Saccharomyces cerevisiae S288C: one gene and its partner. The gene in region 2 interacts genetically with the main gene of each other region. Each region holds a gene or a part of one and is shown on either strand. Other genes may lie near its edges. The genes, in order: YLR464W and PRM3.

Region 1 (9,413 bases), on a different chromosome or scaffold from region 2:
TATATACCCACACACTCTCTCACATCTACCTCTACTCTCGCTGTCATACCTTACCCGGCTTTCTGACCGAAATTAAAAAAAAAAAATGAAAATGAAACCCTGTTCTTTAGCCCTACAGCACTTCTACATAGCCCTAAATAGCCCTAAATAGCCCTCATGTACGTCTCCTCCAAGCCCTGTTGTCTCTTACCCGGATGTTCAACCAAAAGCTACTTACTACCTTTATTTTATGTTTACTTTTTATAGATTGTCTTTTTATCCTACTCTTTCCCACTTGTCTCTCGCTACTGCCGTGCAACAAACACTAAATCAAAACAGTGAAATACTACTACATCAAAACGCATATTCCCTAGAAAAAAAAATTTCTTACAATATACTATACTACACAATACATAATCACTGACTTTCGTAACAACAATTTCCTTCACTCTCCAACTTCTCTGCTCGAATCTCTACATAGTAATATTATATCAAATCTACCGTCTGGAACATCATCGCTATCCAGCTCTTTGTGAACCGCTACCATCAGCATGTACAGCGGTACCCTCGTGTTATCTGCAGCGAGAACTTCAACGTTTGCCAAATCAAGCCAATGTGGTAACAACCACACCTCCGAAATCTGCTCCAAAAGATATTCCAGTTTCTGCCGAAATGTTTTATTGTAGAACAGCCCTATCAGCATCGACAGGAATGCCGTCCAATGCGGCACTTTAGATGGGGTAACTCCCAGCGCAAGCTGATCTCGCAAGTGCATTCCTAGACTTAATTCATATCTGCTCCTCAACTGTCGATGATGCCTGCTAAACTGCAGCTTGACGTACTGCGGACCCTGCAGTCCAGCGCTCGTCATGGAACGCAAACGCTGAAAAACTCCAACTTTCTCGAGCGCTTCCACAAAGACCGTATCGTCTTTTGCCTCCCATTCTTCCCGGCACTTTTTCTCGTCCCAGTTCAAAAAGTACTGCAGCACCTCTGTCTTCGATTCACGCAAGTTGCTCCATACTTTATAATACAACTCTTTGATCTGCCTTCCAGACATGCGGAAAACTTGGCTCCCTTGCTTGCCTCTTGTCGAATCCAATACACTAATTGTTTCTCTTCTTCTAGTAATGGCCAGGTACCAAGCATAATTTCTCTGTATCTGAGAGTAGATCTCTCCCCTTTTTACGCTAAAATATTTCAAATATCCTACAGGGTCCCCATGATATGGCTCGATGTCTTCCAAGTATTCTTTGTATTCCTCGTCATTTCGCAGCATTCTCTCCACAGCTAGTGCTTCCCAAGCCATCCTCCGATACGATACTTTCTGGCCAGCCCAACAGACACAGAGCTCGAACATCTTTTGACAGCCCTTGCATAATCCGTATTGTGTGAATACTCCCTCTGGGCAGAAGTATACGTCAATACCATAGAGGAAAAGATGTTTAATTTCGTCAGACCGAAATCCAAGAAACTGTAAGACATTCATATTCTCGGAAGTATTGGGAAATTGTGCTTTCAGTTTCTTTCTCTCTAGCAAAACCATTTGACTCCCTTTCCGCTTATACGACTCTTTGTTAATGTCGGTGACTGGATGGAATCTATTATCCTCAGCATTGCCATCTTTATTGGCGTCCTCCTTGGCACTAGCGTTGGTACTTTCAGTGGTAGTGGCATTAGTGCTGGAGTTGGTGCTAGCAGTGGTAGTGGCATTAGTGCTGGAGTTGGTGCTAGCAGTGGTAGTAGCACTAGTGTTGGAGTCGGTACTTTCGGTGGTAGTAGCACTAGTGTTGGAGTCGGTACTTTCGGTGGTAGTAGCACTAGTGTTGGAGTTGGTACTTTCAGTGGTAGTCGCACTAGTCCTGACGTTGATGCTGGCAGTGGTAGTAGCACTAGTCCTGACGTTGGTGCTGGCAGTGGTAGTAGCATTAGTGCTGGAGTTGGTACTTTCAGTGGTAATCGCACTAGTCCTGACGTTGATGCTGGCAGTGGTAGTAGCACTAGTCCTGACGTTGGTGCTGGCAGTGGTAGTAGCATTAGTGCTGGAGTTGGTAGTCGCATTGGTACTGGCATTAGCACTACCATGAATGCACGTGTCGCTGTCCTCATCACTGCTGCAATACTTTCTGCACCTGTCACTGCTATTGCTCTCCTGGAAGCTAGACGGTAACGCAATGATCGACATGGAAGCTGTCGCCTGTTTTTCAGCCAATCTGTCCATTCTTTCTATCAGTTCCACTGTGTCAGCAGACAGGTCTGTCCTGGAGCCACAGCATCCAACATGCTGGCCCTTTTTTCCTTTCTTTGATTCAAGTCCATAGAACTCGCGTACCTGTTCGGTTATACAGCCTTCCTTAATCGGTGGTAATTCACCCTTACGATTCCTTGCCGCCCAACTGTTTTTTCTAGATAATAGATAACAGAGGCCCCCATCTCTTAGTCTCCCTACGCCTTGAATGAGCTCAATAATATTAAGTCTATTATCAAGCATGATCACCATCATCAATTGCTTAATGTCAATTCCTTCAGTCACTAATTTCGTTCCGATGAGAACTCGCATGCTACCGTCAGTGACAAACTCCTTTGTGCGAGACACCTTTTCTGCAGCACCCAGCTTCCCGTGTATCCATACCACCCTAAAATACTTTCTCCAAGAGCAGGCCAATTCTTCCACTTCGTTGGTTGTGCTTGCAACTACAATGGCCTTCGACTCTGGTTCAATTTCAAAGAGGGCTAAAAGAAGCTTCAGTGCTTCTTCGGGCTGTGATTCCACTTTCTTCCAAATTTTATGAACATGCCCTAAAGGCACCTCGGATTTCTCCTTGATTAGATTAAACATCCGTGTTGGATAGCTGGATAGACCTCTGCTGAGATCTTCCGACCGTTTGAGCTCGTTGATGTCCATCGACTTCTTGGCCAGTCCCGTAAGCCCAATACGCTGCAACGCAGCATCAGCTACAGCCTCAGGTGCTGTGCCGCTCAAAAAGATTGCTTTCTCAAAAGCGTCAAAATCAAGGTTAGTTATGCCCCCAAATTGCGACTGCCGGTAGACCTCCGTTTCAAAGTTGTGAAACTCATCTACAATGAGGTAACCCAATTTTACGTTGTTGGTCCTAAAGGTGCACTCAACAATATTCTCCCACGCAGCTATCCTGTCTGTGAAATTAGTGCTAGCAAGATCATCGTAGATCCCCACGTATAAATCAGTAACGCCATCGCAACCTTCTTCAATAAAGTTTCTTACAGGGGCCACATTCAAGCAACCGCATCGGCTCAACCTGATCATGCAATTAGCAAGCAACACTGTGTACGGTACAAACAGAAACGACACATATTTCACGTCGCCCTTAGACGCCAGTGCTATCAAGGGGAGATGAAATAACTCCGTCTTACCATAGCCCGGTGGGGCCTGTACTGCCACAGAGGGTGTGTCTGCCATGTATATTTCATGACATAAGCGCAACTGATGCAAGTCCCTGAATTCAAAGGAGCTGCCAAAGAGTTTCCGGCCTGCGACGAGGATATCGTTTGTACTCTTGGGCTCTCGGGGCCTTTTTCGCGTTACTCTTGAAATTTTTTGATGATGATCTGAACTCGCCGCCTCACCTGCCACTACGTCTTCCGCATTCCGAGTACTAGAGAATGAACAATGGTAGTCGCTTTCAAGGCCTAACCATTGAATCCAGCGCTCGGAAGCTCGTTCCTGCAATAAAGTGGCGGTCGTCCCACTGACACTAGTTAACGAAAAGGAATCCACACCGTAAATATTTCGCCCTGTTTGAACGGAATGATTGGCCATGAGTTCACTCGTCGCCGACTCGTACAAATCTGTTTCAAATCTGCTACCTACGCAGTGCCGTCCTAGGGCAATCAACCCCTGACGCATCTCCCGAAAATTCAGCTTCTGAGGTGCATTCTTCGGAAGTTCCCTCATGTACTGCCGAAAAGTTGCGTATTCAACCAGACAGCCCTTCGCGGTATTCAGAAACATGTAGGAATACAAAACTATCCTCGAAATGTCTCGATTTGTTACTTGATCTGGATCCTCAAATCCCACCACATCCATCCAAGGATCATGATTAAAAGCGTCATAACTGTTACCAAGCGCACATATTTGCATTTGCCTTAGCACAGTGACAAAATAAAACACGTAATCTGAAGTGAGTCCGTCAAGCGTCTTTAGTCGAGGCTCCGATGAACCGTTCTTGTTGTAATCAGTGTACAGTTGGATGCGTCTTGTTGTATCATCGACGTATACGTTGCGCTGAGGACCGGCAAAAGCGAGTAGCTGAAGCTCTGGATAACGGTAAGGGTATCCTACGGCAAAATGGATCATCCACATAAGTGGCACCGTAAGCTCGTCAATTGCAACAGCGACTTTATTTTTAAGAGCCGCGGTCATTTTGTTAGTATCTCTTCTCAACTTGGGCAGCACAATTTCACGATATTTAACAGGTATCATTTGAAAAAAAGAATCGTTTTCCAGATACTCGTCAATTCCTCGCTTCGGTTCTCTGAACAAAACTTCTCGATTACGCAAAATGAGGCTGGCATATGGAAGCAGTTGTTCAACTCTCCCCAAAGTTTTCCACATACTGATATACCATCAGAAGAAGGTACCAAAGTTATTCTATAAGAGTCCTTCAGCGTGGTTTCCTGCGCTACTTCGTGGTACAGAATTTTGATCCATTTCCACATTGCAACGCCGTTGTTGTCATCAAATATATCTAAATCCCTTGCGGTACAAGCACAAGACGACACCAATAAAGCTTTCACGGCATCTAGTGTTTTTCTGAGTCTTCGTGGAGTGTTAGGACTGCGCAACTTACATACTTTCAGGCCATGCTCGTCCACAGAGGGAATAATGGGTTCTTCATTCGTAATAGATCGATCCTCTTCGTCACCAGCGCCACCACGGGGACCCGCCCCGAAATTGAGTGCACATGCTCGCAAGATAATATGCAAAATATCACCCAATCGGTCCTTTTTGTTCATCATATCGTTACATATCTGTGAAAAGTACTTTATCTCAATGGGTTTACGTGGGCATAGATCACGCTTCAGCCGCTCTGTGTCGACTTTCTTTTCGCCAGGTAAACTTGCTTGCATAGCTCATCTACGTGTAGGCTGCCAAATTGTACCCATATTTCCTTATGGTGCTTTTCTGAAGACTCCTTACAATAGGTGCGCCGGAAACAAAGTCAGTGAAAGTACGCATCGTAGAGCTGTCGTTCGGCCTAGCACTCGCTATTTCGTGACAACGTTCCAGGACACGGAAACTCAACTCATTATAGTATCCTCTGTTGAGGTAAAAAAGAGAAAGGGTATCGTAATCCTTTCTATTGAATTTCAAAGTATGCACTTGAAACAACGTGTAGACCATCAAGTTGATTTTCTTGGGAACAAGATACTTTGAAGGGATTGGTCCGCCCTGGAAATCTGGTTCGTCTTCAACAAACGTCAGGAACTTTTTTACATTTTTCCCGACCATGACGGAAATGACAACTTTTTCAAAAGACCTTTTCCTATCCATTGCACCAGTTCTGAATTTTACCACTTTGATTAGGCCAGACTTTTCGTCTTCGTAGAATGACCGCACTTCCGTGGGGATCGATTCAAATAAAGTTATTGAGGGACAATGTACCAAGTCGTTTTTGTTATTTAGAGCCGACTCAAACTCGTCAAAGTTTGCTTTTTCAAACTTACGCCTATCGGAAACTTTCATTTTATTTTTGTAAGTTTCGAAATTAACAATAGTATGTTGATTTTTATGCTTTTTGACAAGAAATCCATCAATATAAACAAAAGATTGTCCAGTTTTCGTCTTATCATCATCTAAGAATGTAATAATTAAGCTATTGAGAAGATGCAGAATCTGCGCTATGCAGGTGCAGCAAAAGCAAACAAAATCTCACTAAGATAAGCGACTGTCTGTCCCCTTCAAGCACAACATAGAAAACAGAAGGATGTCTCATTCATCGCTTGATTTCCGGCCTGCAAAAATAAAGTAGTCGGTACGTACTTTCGTTTTCAATTTCCATGGTGCACAGTATCTTAACTATCTGCTTAGTCGAGGAGAACCAGGATTCTGTTCGTTGCTCAGCCGCTTCGTGGATATTCTCTTGGATACTTTAAACATGGACCTACGTTCCGCTCTCGAAAAGACCAATATAATAAAAAGTTATAAATTACATTTCCTTATTAGGTATACGACCTCGCGCTTCGAAGTAGAGGAGCCCTTTTTGGCGTACCTACATATGGCGCGTCAGACAGACAAACTTCCCCCAAAAATGTATTACCCCGCCGAATAAGAAAACAGACCCATTCACCAACGACGTATCAAGTTACTTCCTTGGTTTGCAATGTCCCACTATAAAAAAATTCCTTGACGCTAGATCTTTGGGCTAAAATCTGCGTCAAACAGGAAATATTGCCTATTTTCGTACAAGGTTACTTCCTAGATGCTATATGTCCCTACGGCCTTGTCTAACACCATCCAGCATGCAATAAGGTGACATAGATATACACACCACACCCACACCCACACCCACACCCACACCCACACCACACCCACCACACCCACACACCACACACACACACACCACACCACACCCACACACCCACACACCACACCCACACACACACACACACCTAACCCTAACACTACCCTACTCTAACCCTGATCAACCTGTCTCTCAACTTACCCTCCATTACCCTACTCCCCACTCGTTACCCTGTCTCATTCAACTATACCACTCCCAACTACCATCCACCTCTCTACTTCCTACCACCAACCCACCGTCCACCATAACCGTTACCCTCCAATTACCCATATCCAACTCCGCCACCACTTACCCTGCCATTCCTCTACCATCTCCCATCTACTACTCACCATACTGTTGTTCTACCCACCATATTGAAACGTTAACAAATGATCGTAAACAATACACATATACTTACCCTATCACTCTATACCATCACCACCACTTGCCACACTCACCTTCACTTGTATACTGATATGTCATACGCACACGGATACTACAGTATATACCATCTCAACTTACCCTACTCTCATATTCCACTCCACTCCATGGCCCATCTCTCACTAAATCAGTGCCAAATGCACTCACATCATTATGCACGGCACTTGCCTCAGCGGTCTATACTCTGTGCCATTTACCCATAAATCCCATGATTATCCACATTTTAATATCTATATCTCATTCAGTGGCCTCGAATATTGTAAAAATGCTCTTAATACATACGTTATATTACTTTTGCACCATATACTAACCACTCAATTTAAATACACTTATGCCAATATTACAGAAAAATCACCACTAAAATCACCTAAACATAAAAATATTCTATTCTTCAACAATAATACAAAAACATATTGACTTGGAGTATGAACACTACCATGACGTCATTAACGTAAAAGTTCCTTAATATTGCAGTTTGCTTGAACGGATGCCATTTCAGAATATTTCGTACTTATGCAGACCATACATTAGAATAATATGCTACCTCACTGTCGTAACACTCTCCATTCACTGTGCTATAATATGGTACTGTGTTGACACTCATGCGGGTGCTATGATAAAATTGTATCCTATTTCCATTCCCATATGCTATCCGCAATATCCTAAAAGCATAACTGATGCATCTTTAATCTTGTATGTGACACTACTCATACGAAGAGACTATATCTGAACAAGACGATACTGTGATAGGTACGTTATTTAATAGGATCTATAACGAAATGTCAAATAATTTTACGGTAATATAACTTATCAGCGGCGTATACTGAAACGGACGTTACGATATTGTCTCACTTCATCTTACCACCCTCTATCTTATTGTTGATAGAACACTAACCCTTCAGCTTTATTTCTGGTTACGGTTACACAAAAACTATCGCAACCCAGAAATTTTGATATTTTCAGTGTCAAAAAATGAGGGTCTCTAAATGAGAGTTTGATACCATGACTCCGTAACTCGCACTGCCCTGATCTGCAATCTTGTTCTTAGAAGTGACGCATATTCTATACGGCCCGACGCGACGCGCCAAAAAATGAAAAAAGAAGCAGCGACTCATTTTTATGGAAAGACAAAGTGCTGAGAAGTCATGCGCTTCCAATTTCATTATTGTTTATTGGACATACTCTATTAGCTTTATTACCATCCACCCTTTTTCTAGAATAGTGTAAAAGTTTCTTTTTATGTTTATCGTATTCATAAAATGCTTCACGAACACTGTCATTGATCAAATAGGTTTATAATATTAATATACATTTATATAATCTACGGTATTTATATCATCAAAAAAAAGTAGTTTTTATTTTATTTTTCATTACTTTTTACTGTCTATGAATTTTCATTCGTAGAGGCACTCGTCCCTAGTTTGCGATAGTGTAGATACCATCTTTGGATAGAGCCTTGGAGATAGCTGGCTTTAATCTGCTGGAGTACCATGGAACACCGGTGATCATTCTGGTCACTTGGTCTGGGGCAATACCAGTCAACATGGTGGTGAAGTCACCGTAGTTGAAAACGGCTTCAGCAACTTCAACTGGGTAGGTTTCAGTTGGGTGGGCGGCTTGGAACATGTAGTATTGGGCCAAGTGAGCTCTGATATCAGAGACGTAGACACCCAATTCAACCAAGTTGACTCTTTCGTCAGATTGAGCTATAGTGGTGGTTGCGGAAGCAGTAGCAGCGATGGCAGCGACACCAGCGGCGATTGAAGTTAATTTGACCATTGTATTTGTTTTGTTTGTTAGTGCTGATATAAGCTTAACAGGAAAGAAAGGAATAAAGACATATTCTCAAAGGCATACAGTTGAAGCAGCTCTATTTATACCCATGCCTTCATCAGTCATCACTATTTAAACGATTCGTTAACAGACGCTCATTTAGCACCTCACATATCCTCCATATCTCATCTTTCACACAATCTCATTATCAGTATGGAAATGCTCTTGTTTCTGAACGAATCATACATCTTTCATAGACTTCGTATGTGGAGTATTGTTTTATGGCACTCATGTGTATTCGTATGCGCAGAATGTGGGAATGCCTATTATAGGGATGCCGGGGTACCTTGAAAAACCCTTTTGCGCGCCTGTGATTTCCGTTTTCGGTCAAAAAGAATATCTGAATTTTAGATTTGGACCCTCGTACAGAAGTCTATTGTCTAAGCCTAATTTCAGTGCTTTAAACGGCTTCCGCGGAAGAAGCATTTCTATCTCTTGAATTCGTACAACATTAAACGTGTGTTGGGAGTCGTATACTGTTAGGGTCTGCAATTTGTGAACTCTCGGCGAATGCCTTGGTGCAATTACGTAATTGTAGCCGCTGAAGGCGGATGGTATTGAGAGAAGTTGATGTTCAAAGTATCGTGTATGATAAAAATAAAATTGTAACCAGTTCGT
Region 2 (7,863 bases):
CATGCCTGGAAAGATTGCACACATTTTGTGATTCTCAGGATCCAAATTTGAGATATATTAGCTGCATATTGTTTTACAAGATCGGCAAAATCAATACTGATTTTATTTCTCGGTTCGACCAACTGATTATACGCTTACTCTCCGATGTCGACGTTTCTATAAGATCAAAAGCAATTGAATTGGTTGAAGGTATTGTTGATGAGGATAACTTAAAGGCAATTGTCCAAACATTGATGAAGCAATTTGTAGATGAAGATGTGGTTATCCTACAAACTGGAAGCATCGTATACGAAAAATCAAAGAGAATTCCCATAATAATTCCAGAAAATTACAAGATAAAAATGGTGAACGTCATTATATCGATTTGTTCAGCTGACAACTATTCCAGTGTTAACGACTTTGAATGGTACAATGCAGTAATAATGGACTTGGCGATGCTCTGTCAAGACATATCTGATAAAAGCCTTGGATCAAAAATTGGTGAACAGTTTAGGAATTTGATGATAAAAGTTCCTTCAATGAGAGAAGTAACCATTGCTAATATTATAAAGCTTATTTCAAATGACAATATTAACAAACAGTTGCCTACCGTATTGAGAGAATGCATTTGGTGTCTCGGAGAATTTTCTACCCTAGTTGAAAATGGTAACGACTTAATAAAAATCATGACTGAGAATATCAGTTATTATTCTCATAGTGTACAAGAAGTTTTAATTTTAGCACTTGTTAAAGTATTTAGTAATTGGTGTAATAACTTTCAGGAGGATAAACGCTTTGAAATTAAAATGGTGTTAAAAGAGCTAATTGAATTTTTTGAAAATTTATCTTATTCGAGTACATTCGAAGTCCAGGAAAGAAGCGTAGAAGTTTTAGAATTTTTAAGACTAAGTTTGGAGGCTTTAGAGGAGGATACGGAAGGTCTACCAATGCTACTGAGCGAAGTCCTGCCTAGTTTTTTTAACGCCTATGAACTCGCACCAATTGCGCGTGGGACTCAATTGAAGTTAGCAGTAGATGAGAATCTTGATCTAGAAACTCCATTTTTGACAAAGGAGGCAGCTGATGAACTCTTAGATGAACAAAAAAGTGACGCCATCAGTGATTTAATGTCTGATATCTCAATGGACGAGCAAGTTGAACTAAAATTCGTTGATGATTCTGATACTTCGTATGAAGAAAAGGAAAAATTGGATGATTTTGAAAATCCATTTGAGATTGAGAGAGAAAAGGAACGGATGTCAAATCCTTATTATCTAGGTGAAGAAGACGAAGAAAGAACTAAGAACTCTAAAGATTTGTTGGACTTGAATGAGGAGGAAAGTAGTGATAAAAAGCCAGAAACTATTAGATTAAATAGAACCGATAATTCGTTGAATTCTCTAAGTTTATCTACAACTGAAATCAGCAGAAAGAAGAAGAAGGGAAAGAAGAAAAATAGGGTTCAAGTCTTATCCGATGAACCTGTTATCGAAGCCGCTCCCAAAAGGAAAGATGCATTCCAGAAACCCCATGATAATCATTCAACTCAAAATCCTTTGAAAAAGGACAAGATTAATCTGAGAATGCACTCTCAACTTGAAAATTTTGATTTTTCCAATTTTGGGCAATCGAGTAACGCAGGAAGAGGATCGCAGGAAGAGGGCAACCTTAGAAAGGAAGACGAGTTAGAATTAAGTCGTTTAGAGGCCAATCTTATTGTAAAAGATGAAAAGGATAATTTAAGTGATACTGAAGAAGTTATAGTTATAAAAAAGAAGAAGAAAGGGAAAAAGTCAAAGTCAAAAAACAAACTAAAAACGAAAGCAAAAAATTCTCCAGAACCAAATGAATTTCTTCGAGACCAAAGCACTGACATTTAACGATAAAAAAATCGAAGTCGTGAATTCTCAATGACAGCGATTACGTACGTAAACTATAATTAATTTAAGTATTTTATTCTGCATAGTATATTATTGCGGTGCACTCAATTTGCCGAAAGAGACGGCATATTTAATAATGACGCGAATGAATCAAAGGCCGCCAAAGGTAATCATAGACCAGAGATGATTTGCAAAATTATTTGACATACTATTGCTAGTGTAACAATAACACAGCATAACTTTGCTTAGACATATATGTCATTTAAGGCAACTATCACCGAGTCGGGGAAGCAGAATATCTGGTTTCGTGCGATATATGTGTTATCTACAATTCAGGATGATATCAAGATTACAGTGACAACAAATGAGTTAATTGCTTGGTCAATGAACGAGACAGATACTACTCTTTGTCAGGTTAGGTTTCAGAAAAGCTTTTTTGAGGAGTATGAGTTTAAACCACATGAGATTGTATTTGGAGAAAATGGGGTTCAAGTTATAGAAGATACGTACGGCAATAGTCATAAGTTATACTCCTTCCGTGTTAATGGAAGACACCTAACAACTATATCAAGAAAGCCGGATGGTGATGGCATCAAATCATTCACAATTGCGGTAAACAACACTTCTACCTGTCCTGAATCACTTGCAAATAGATTGATTGTGGTGATTGAAATGGATTCGTTAATAGTCAAAGAATACTGTCCCCAATTCCAGCCAATAAAATACGATCCCATAATAATCAACCTTAAGTACAAAAGGAGGTTTTTGGATGTTTTTGGAACTGCTGCCTCCGATCGGAATCCACAGGAGCCCTTGGACCCTAAGCTATTGGACGTTTTTACAAATACAGAGCGTGAGCTAACATCAGCCTTATTTAACGAAGAAGTGGAATCAGACATACGTAAAAGGAATCAGTTAACGGCTGCTGATGAGATTAATTACATTTGTTGTAATTCAACTTTATTGAAGAATTTTTTAGACAACTGCAATGTTAATGTAACCGATGAAGTAAAATTGGAAATTAACGTACATAGGCTAAGCATAACTGCATTCACCAAGGCCGTCTACGGCAAAAATAACGACCTTTTAAGAAATGCGTTAAGCATGAGTAACACTATCAGTACGCTCGATCTTGAGCATTATTGCTTATTTACAACAATCGAAGATGAAAAACAAGATAAGCGATCACATAGTAAGCGTAGAGAGCATATGAAAAGTATAATATTCAAATTGAAGGACTTCAAAAACTTCATAACGATAGGTCCATCCTGGAAGACTACCCAGGACGGAAATGATAATATAAGTTTATGGTTTTGCCACCCAGGGGACCCTATTCTTATGCAAATGCAAAAACCGGGCGTAAAATTAGAATTGGTTGAAGTTACTGACAGTAACATTAACGATGATATTTTAGAAGGAAAATTCATAAAAACAGCAATCTCTGGCTCCAAAGAAGAGGCCGGACTGAAAGACAACAAAGAAAGCTGCGAAAGTCCATTAAAAAGCAAAACTGCTTTAAAGAGAGAAAACCTGCCACACTCTGTGGCTGGAACTCGAAACAGTCCTTTGAAAGTGTCGTATCTGACCCCTGATAATGGAAGCACAGTTGCTAAGACCTATAGAAATAACACGGCAAGAAAATTATTCGTGGAAGAACAAAGCCAAAGTACGAATTACGAACAAGATAAGCGGTTCCGGCAGGCTAGTTCAGTTCATATGAACATGAATCGGGAACAAAGTTTTGACATTGGTACGACTCATGAAGTGGCCTGTCCACGTAATGAGAGCAATTCTTTAAAAAGATCCATAGCAGATATTTGTAATGAAACTGAAGACCCCACCCAACAATCTACATTTGCAAAAAGGGCAGACACCACTGTGACATGGGGAAAAGCGTTACCAGCTGCAGATGATGAGGTTTCATGCAGCAATATCGATAGAAAAGGAATGCTCAAGAAAGAAAAATTGAAGCATATGCAAGGTCTGTTGAATTCCCAGAATGACACAAGTAATCACAAGAAACAGGACAATAAAGAGATGGAAGATGGGCTGGGTCTAACACAAGTAGAAAAGCCAAGGGGTATATTTGACTAAAACCATAATGCAAAATCAGTATAAAGGCGTGTAAATATTAGATGAAGTAGCAATTATCATGATAATATCGATCGCTGTTTTTTTTTTTTTTTCTGTCTCAATTTGGTGAGCGTGCGGCTGATGGTCCATCACGGTCGGGGAACAAACTAAAATTTTCAATAGCATAATATCTCTATATTGCATAGCTTTTTACTTAATAGGAACTTAAAAATTTCATTGATGCTATTATATTTAACTCATAAGTCAATCTCTTTTTCCATTTTGATTAGCTTATTGCGACATGGACTATGAATTATAATAACTTTGAAAATTCGAAGGGTGATGGACATTCTAGGCTTCCCAAACCTACATACTCCGGAACGCTATCAGATGGCTATGATGAATCGAAAATTAAAAGGCAAAAAACAGACTCTGCTTTTAATGCAGCTTACTCACCTCATATGTATCCGAACTCTCCGTATTATGAAGGTTCATGGAATACCGGTTATACTCCTCAACTTCATCATGTAGCCCCTCATAATCAATATTTCCATCCAATACAACCGTCCACTCAGTACAATTATACGAGTCCTCCCAATTATACAGAAAATTACATACCGCCAGTTCATCAGAATATATCTTATGCACCAGCGCTTAATTTACAGAAGTGGCCATCATCATATTGTGAAAACACTCAAGCCTTAAAGAATGATAAAGATTACCAAACATCAATTAGTTATGAAGATGTTGCAATACCGACCGTAAAGGAAATACAATTGATTGAGAAAAACAGAGGGAAAGATACGTTTATGAATGAAATAAGTCCAGTACCATCAAGCAAGGATCAAGCATCTGCGGAGCCTACAGAAATCCCAAGAAAGGATCCCGAGCTGGCAAATTCTAATGCCGAAGATGATCATAATAACTTAGGGCTAGAAGATGATGATCGTGATGAGCAGTTAGAATCAGAGGGGTTGGGTAAGGTGGTTTTGGTTCCTGGAACCTCCATAGCATTGATTACTGATGAAGATGTTAAAAAGTGGAGAGAAGAAAGAAAAAAAATGTGGCTACTGAAAATATCCAATAACAAACAGAAACATATGCAAGAAATGGGCATAAAGGAAGATGAACTGAAGAGCCAACCTAGCATTTTCAAAGAGTCAAGGAAAGAAAAGCAATTTATACAGAGTATTCAAAATCAAGTGCAGAGAGGAAATCCGAAGATTGACTTGAACTTGAAATTGATACAGCGAGAATTCGCAAACGAAAACTCCCAACTTTTGGACTTTATAAGAGAATTGGGAGATGTAGGATTACTTGAATATGAGCTATCTCAACAAGAAAAAGATGTACTTTTTGGGAGCTCTGAAGATAATAATAAAAATCATTACAAACCAAATTACAAAAACAGGAAACCTAATCTGAGTAGAGCCAACTTTACTAGAAATAAGTAATAGAATAGCAAATATTGATATACATGGAAGAGTACATGCAAAGGTGCGTAAAAAAAAATAAGTCAGATAAAACTAATTACTGTTTAGAAATCATGAGTATATGAAACTAATTTTGAAGAGCTTTAACTGCTAGGTTACTTAAAACAGTAGTTACAGCAGCACCAAGGAACGAACCGAAAATGGCACCTTGGTAAAATGAACCCTTATTCTCTCTCTGTACTTTACTTTCAGAAGCGTCTTTTTTCTTACTTTTCGTTCGTGATTTTGTGGAAGATGTTGTCGTTTTGTGCTTCCTGACTCTACCAGGCGACACAGCCTTCTTAATGTGTTGTTCATTATTAACTAATGACTTTTTATTAAGCGGTCCACCGTTTTTGGCTTTATTTATAACGAACCCATCAGCAGAGTTTGAACTTGCATCTGTCAGTTTATGCACTCTAAGTTTTTCTTGGTCGTTGTTTTTCTTCAGTGTAATCAATGCAGCGTTGTCTTCTTTCATTGCTGTCATTTTTTGGAGAAGTATTTATATATTTATTAGTTATTTAATGTGTTTATAAATTTATCTTGAGGCTGGTGAAATCTATTCCAAGTATTTTAAATATGTTTGCAAATGCGAGTCTACTACTTTGGTTCCATATGATGTCAGTTTTACAACAATTTATACTAGAGATAGCCAATATACTTGTTTCAGTTCTGTTTTGCCGTAATGGAATTATAGCTCCGACAAATGTAATCTTATGCACTGAAATTCAATCCATTGTGACAAGAATTATGTATTTTAGTTCTTATTTGATTTATTTCGACGCCTCGCGCGCGCTCTTAGAATCCGGCCCGACAAAGGATCTGAAACAAGTATAAATCAAATGGCCAATATAATGTCAAGCCTGTTTTATGTGGCAATGTTTAGACAGAAAATCACGCCTGTAGGGGTCCACATATCTCCAGAATAATTAGAGAGTCGGTGTCCTTATGAGATCTTCCTTAAAGCGAACAGATTGATTAATCATGTTTTACGCGAGGATATACGATAAAAACAAGTGAACAGCTCTTACATAACAACGCACTCACTTTTCTCTTTTTCAGAAGCTTTTGCATTGAGAAGGCTGCTTCTTCGCTTAAACTTGTCTTTTTTGACTGGTGCGTGTATTTCTGAGTTTTTTTTGTGAGAATGGATTTTCCTTTTTGCTTCAAATTTCGTAACACGTTCTTGTTCTTGTTCCTGTAACTGTTTGGCTAGTTCTTTATCGTTTTCAATTTGCTGAATTTCTTCAAGTAGCAAATTTCCAGTTCCAAAATCACGTTCAATGTCAGTTGACAATTGCTGTCCATTTACCTCTGCTGCACTAAAGTTACCGGCAAAAAAAGCATCGCAGGAGCCGTCCACCGAATCTAGGGATTGCCATACAATATCTTTACAATTTTTATAACCAAAGTCCGTAACCAATGTGTATAATCGATCTTCGTATTTGAACAATGTAGAAAAATGGTCATTTCTGAATAAAATGGAGAATTTGTTGTGTAGCAGCTTTTCTCTCAATCGTAGGAGTCCAAAGGCGGTCAACTGAGTCGGTGATTCGTTCAAAAACAGACCCAAATGCATGGCATCACGTAAAACTTCGTCCGAGTTTTCATCTTGGGAAATTCCACAATTTATATCAGCTGCTTGTGTTAAGATTCTCTGCGCAGATTCATAAGAATAATGAGATAGTTTCTCATCAATGTTTTCATTTATGAAACTGTTGATAACCCAGCCATGGACAACATCAACGTTAAACAATCGAAATATTGACATCTCTTTAGTATTTTCAAAAGACCCATTAAACTCAGGGTTAATATTTAAACCTTCATGTAATCTAGGTAACAAACTTAGTAACTCACTTATATCAGTACTAGGTTTATCTGTAACTTGTAAAGCGATATCTGCTAAGACTTCAATAAGTTCTTTTAAAGATATTTGACTTCCCTTATTTACCAACCTTATTAACTCATTGGAAAAACGTGTATGATCTGGTGAAAGTATTAGAATATTTGCAAGTGCTAACAAGGCACAAGGTCCGTTTTCGTTTTGCAGTAATATTCGATGGTTTTGACCATTAATTTTGACACTTTTAGTCGTGAAACTTAAATCCATGAAAAGATATTGCAATAAACAAGAATTGCAGTGATGTGAATCTACTTTGAGCTGTTCTTTAAAGCGCCTTGTAGAATGGGCATTTTGTCCAACGTTTTCAAGACCCTTTTTTCGTACTGCTCGCTGTTAATACTGCGAAACTAAAATAAACGACAGGCAGATGACTAAAACAAATCAAACAAGAACCTCTAGGGAAAGGTGTCCTAAGCGCGGAACTTCTTTTCGTTATGGGGTAAATAGAGCGGTACTTAATAATCTGTTTACAAAGCAATTTTACAAAGTTTTGATATAAGAACATTTAACTAAAGAGAAGAAAAAGAAATGAAAAGCCATTCTCTTGGCAGAG

Evidence for each region.
Region 1: mutations in PRM3 (region 2) and YLR464W together harm fitness more than expected from each alone (negative genetic interaction), as found in Saccharomyces cerevisiae (one large-scale study listed by BioGRID).

Annotation. Positions count from the first base shown.
Region 1 is NC_001144.5:1,062,247-1,071,659, reverse strand, and holds YLR464W (uncharacterized protein), read right to left. Parts: upstream 5,089-9,413; coding exon 4,576-5,088; intron 4,574-4,575; coding exon of another isoform or gene 4,297-4,573; coding exon 4,159-4,296; downstream 1-4,158. Other genes in the region: YRF1-4 (Y' element ATP-dependent helicase protein 1 copy 4), read right to left, coding at 425-4,573; YLR462W (uncharacterized protein), read right to left, coding at 5,096-5,704; seripauperin PAU4, read right to left, coding at 8,379-8,741.
Region 2 is NC_001148.4:177,163-185,025, forward strand, and holds PRM3 (pheromone-regulated protein PRM3), read right to left. Parts: upstream 5,895-7,863; coding exon 5,493-5,894; downstream 1-5,492. Other genes in the region: APL5 (Apl5p), read left to right, coding at 1-1,859; DDC1 (Ddc1p), read left to right, coding at 2,115-3,953; RSA1 (Rsa1p), read left to right, coding at 4,241-5,386; MIY2 (ubiquitinyl hydrolase 1), read right to left, coding at 6,435-7,517. UniProt on the Saccharomyces cerevisiae protein: Required for the fusion of nuclear envelopes during mating, ensuring proper karyogamy. Plays a role in the initiation of outer nuclear envelope fusion.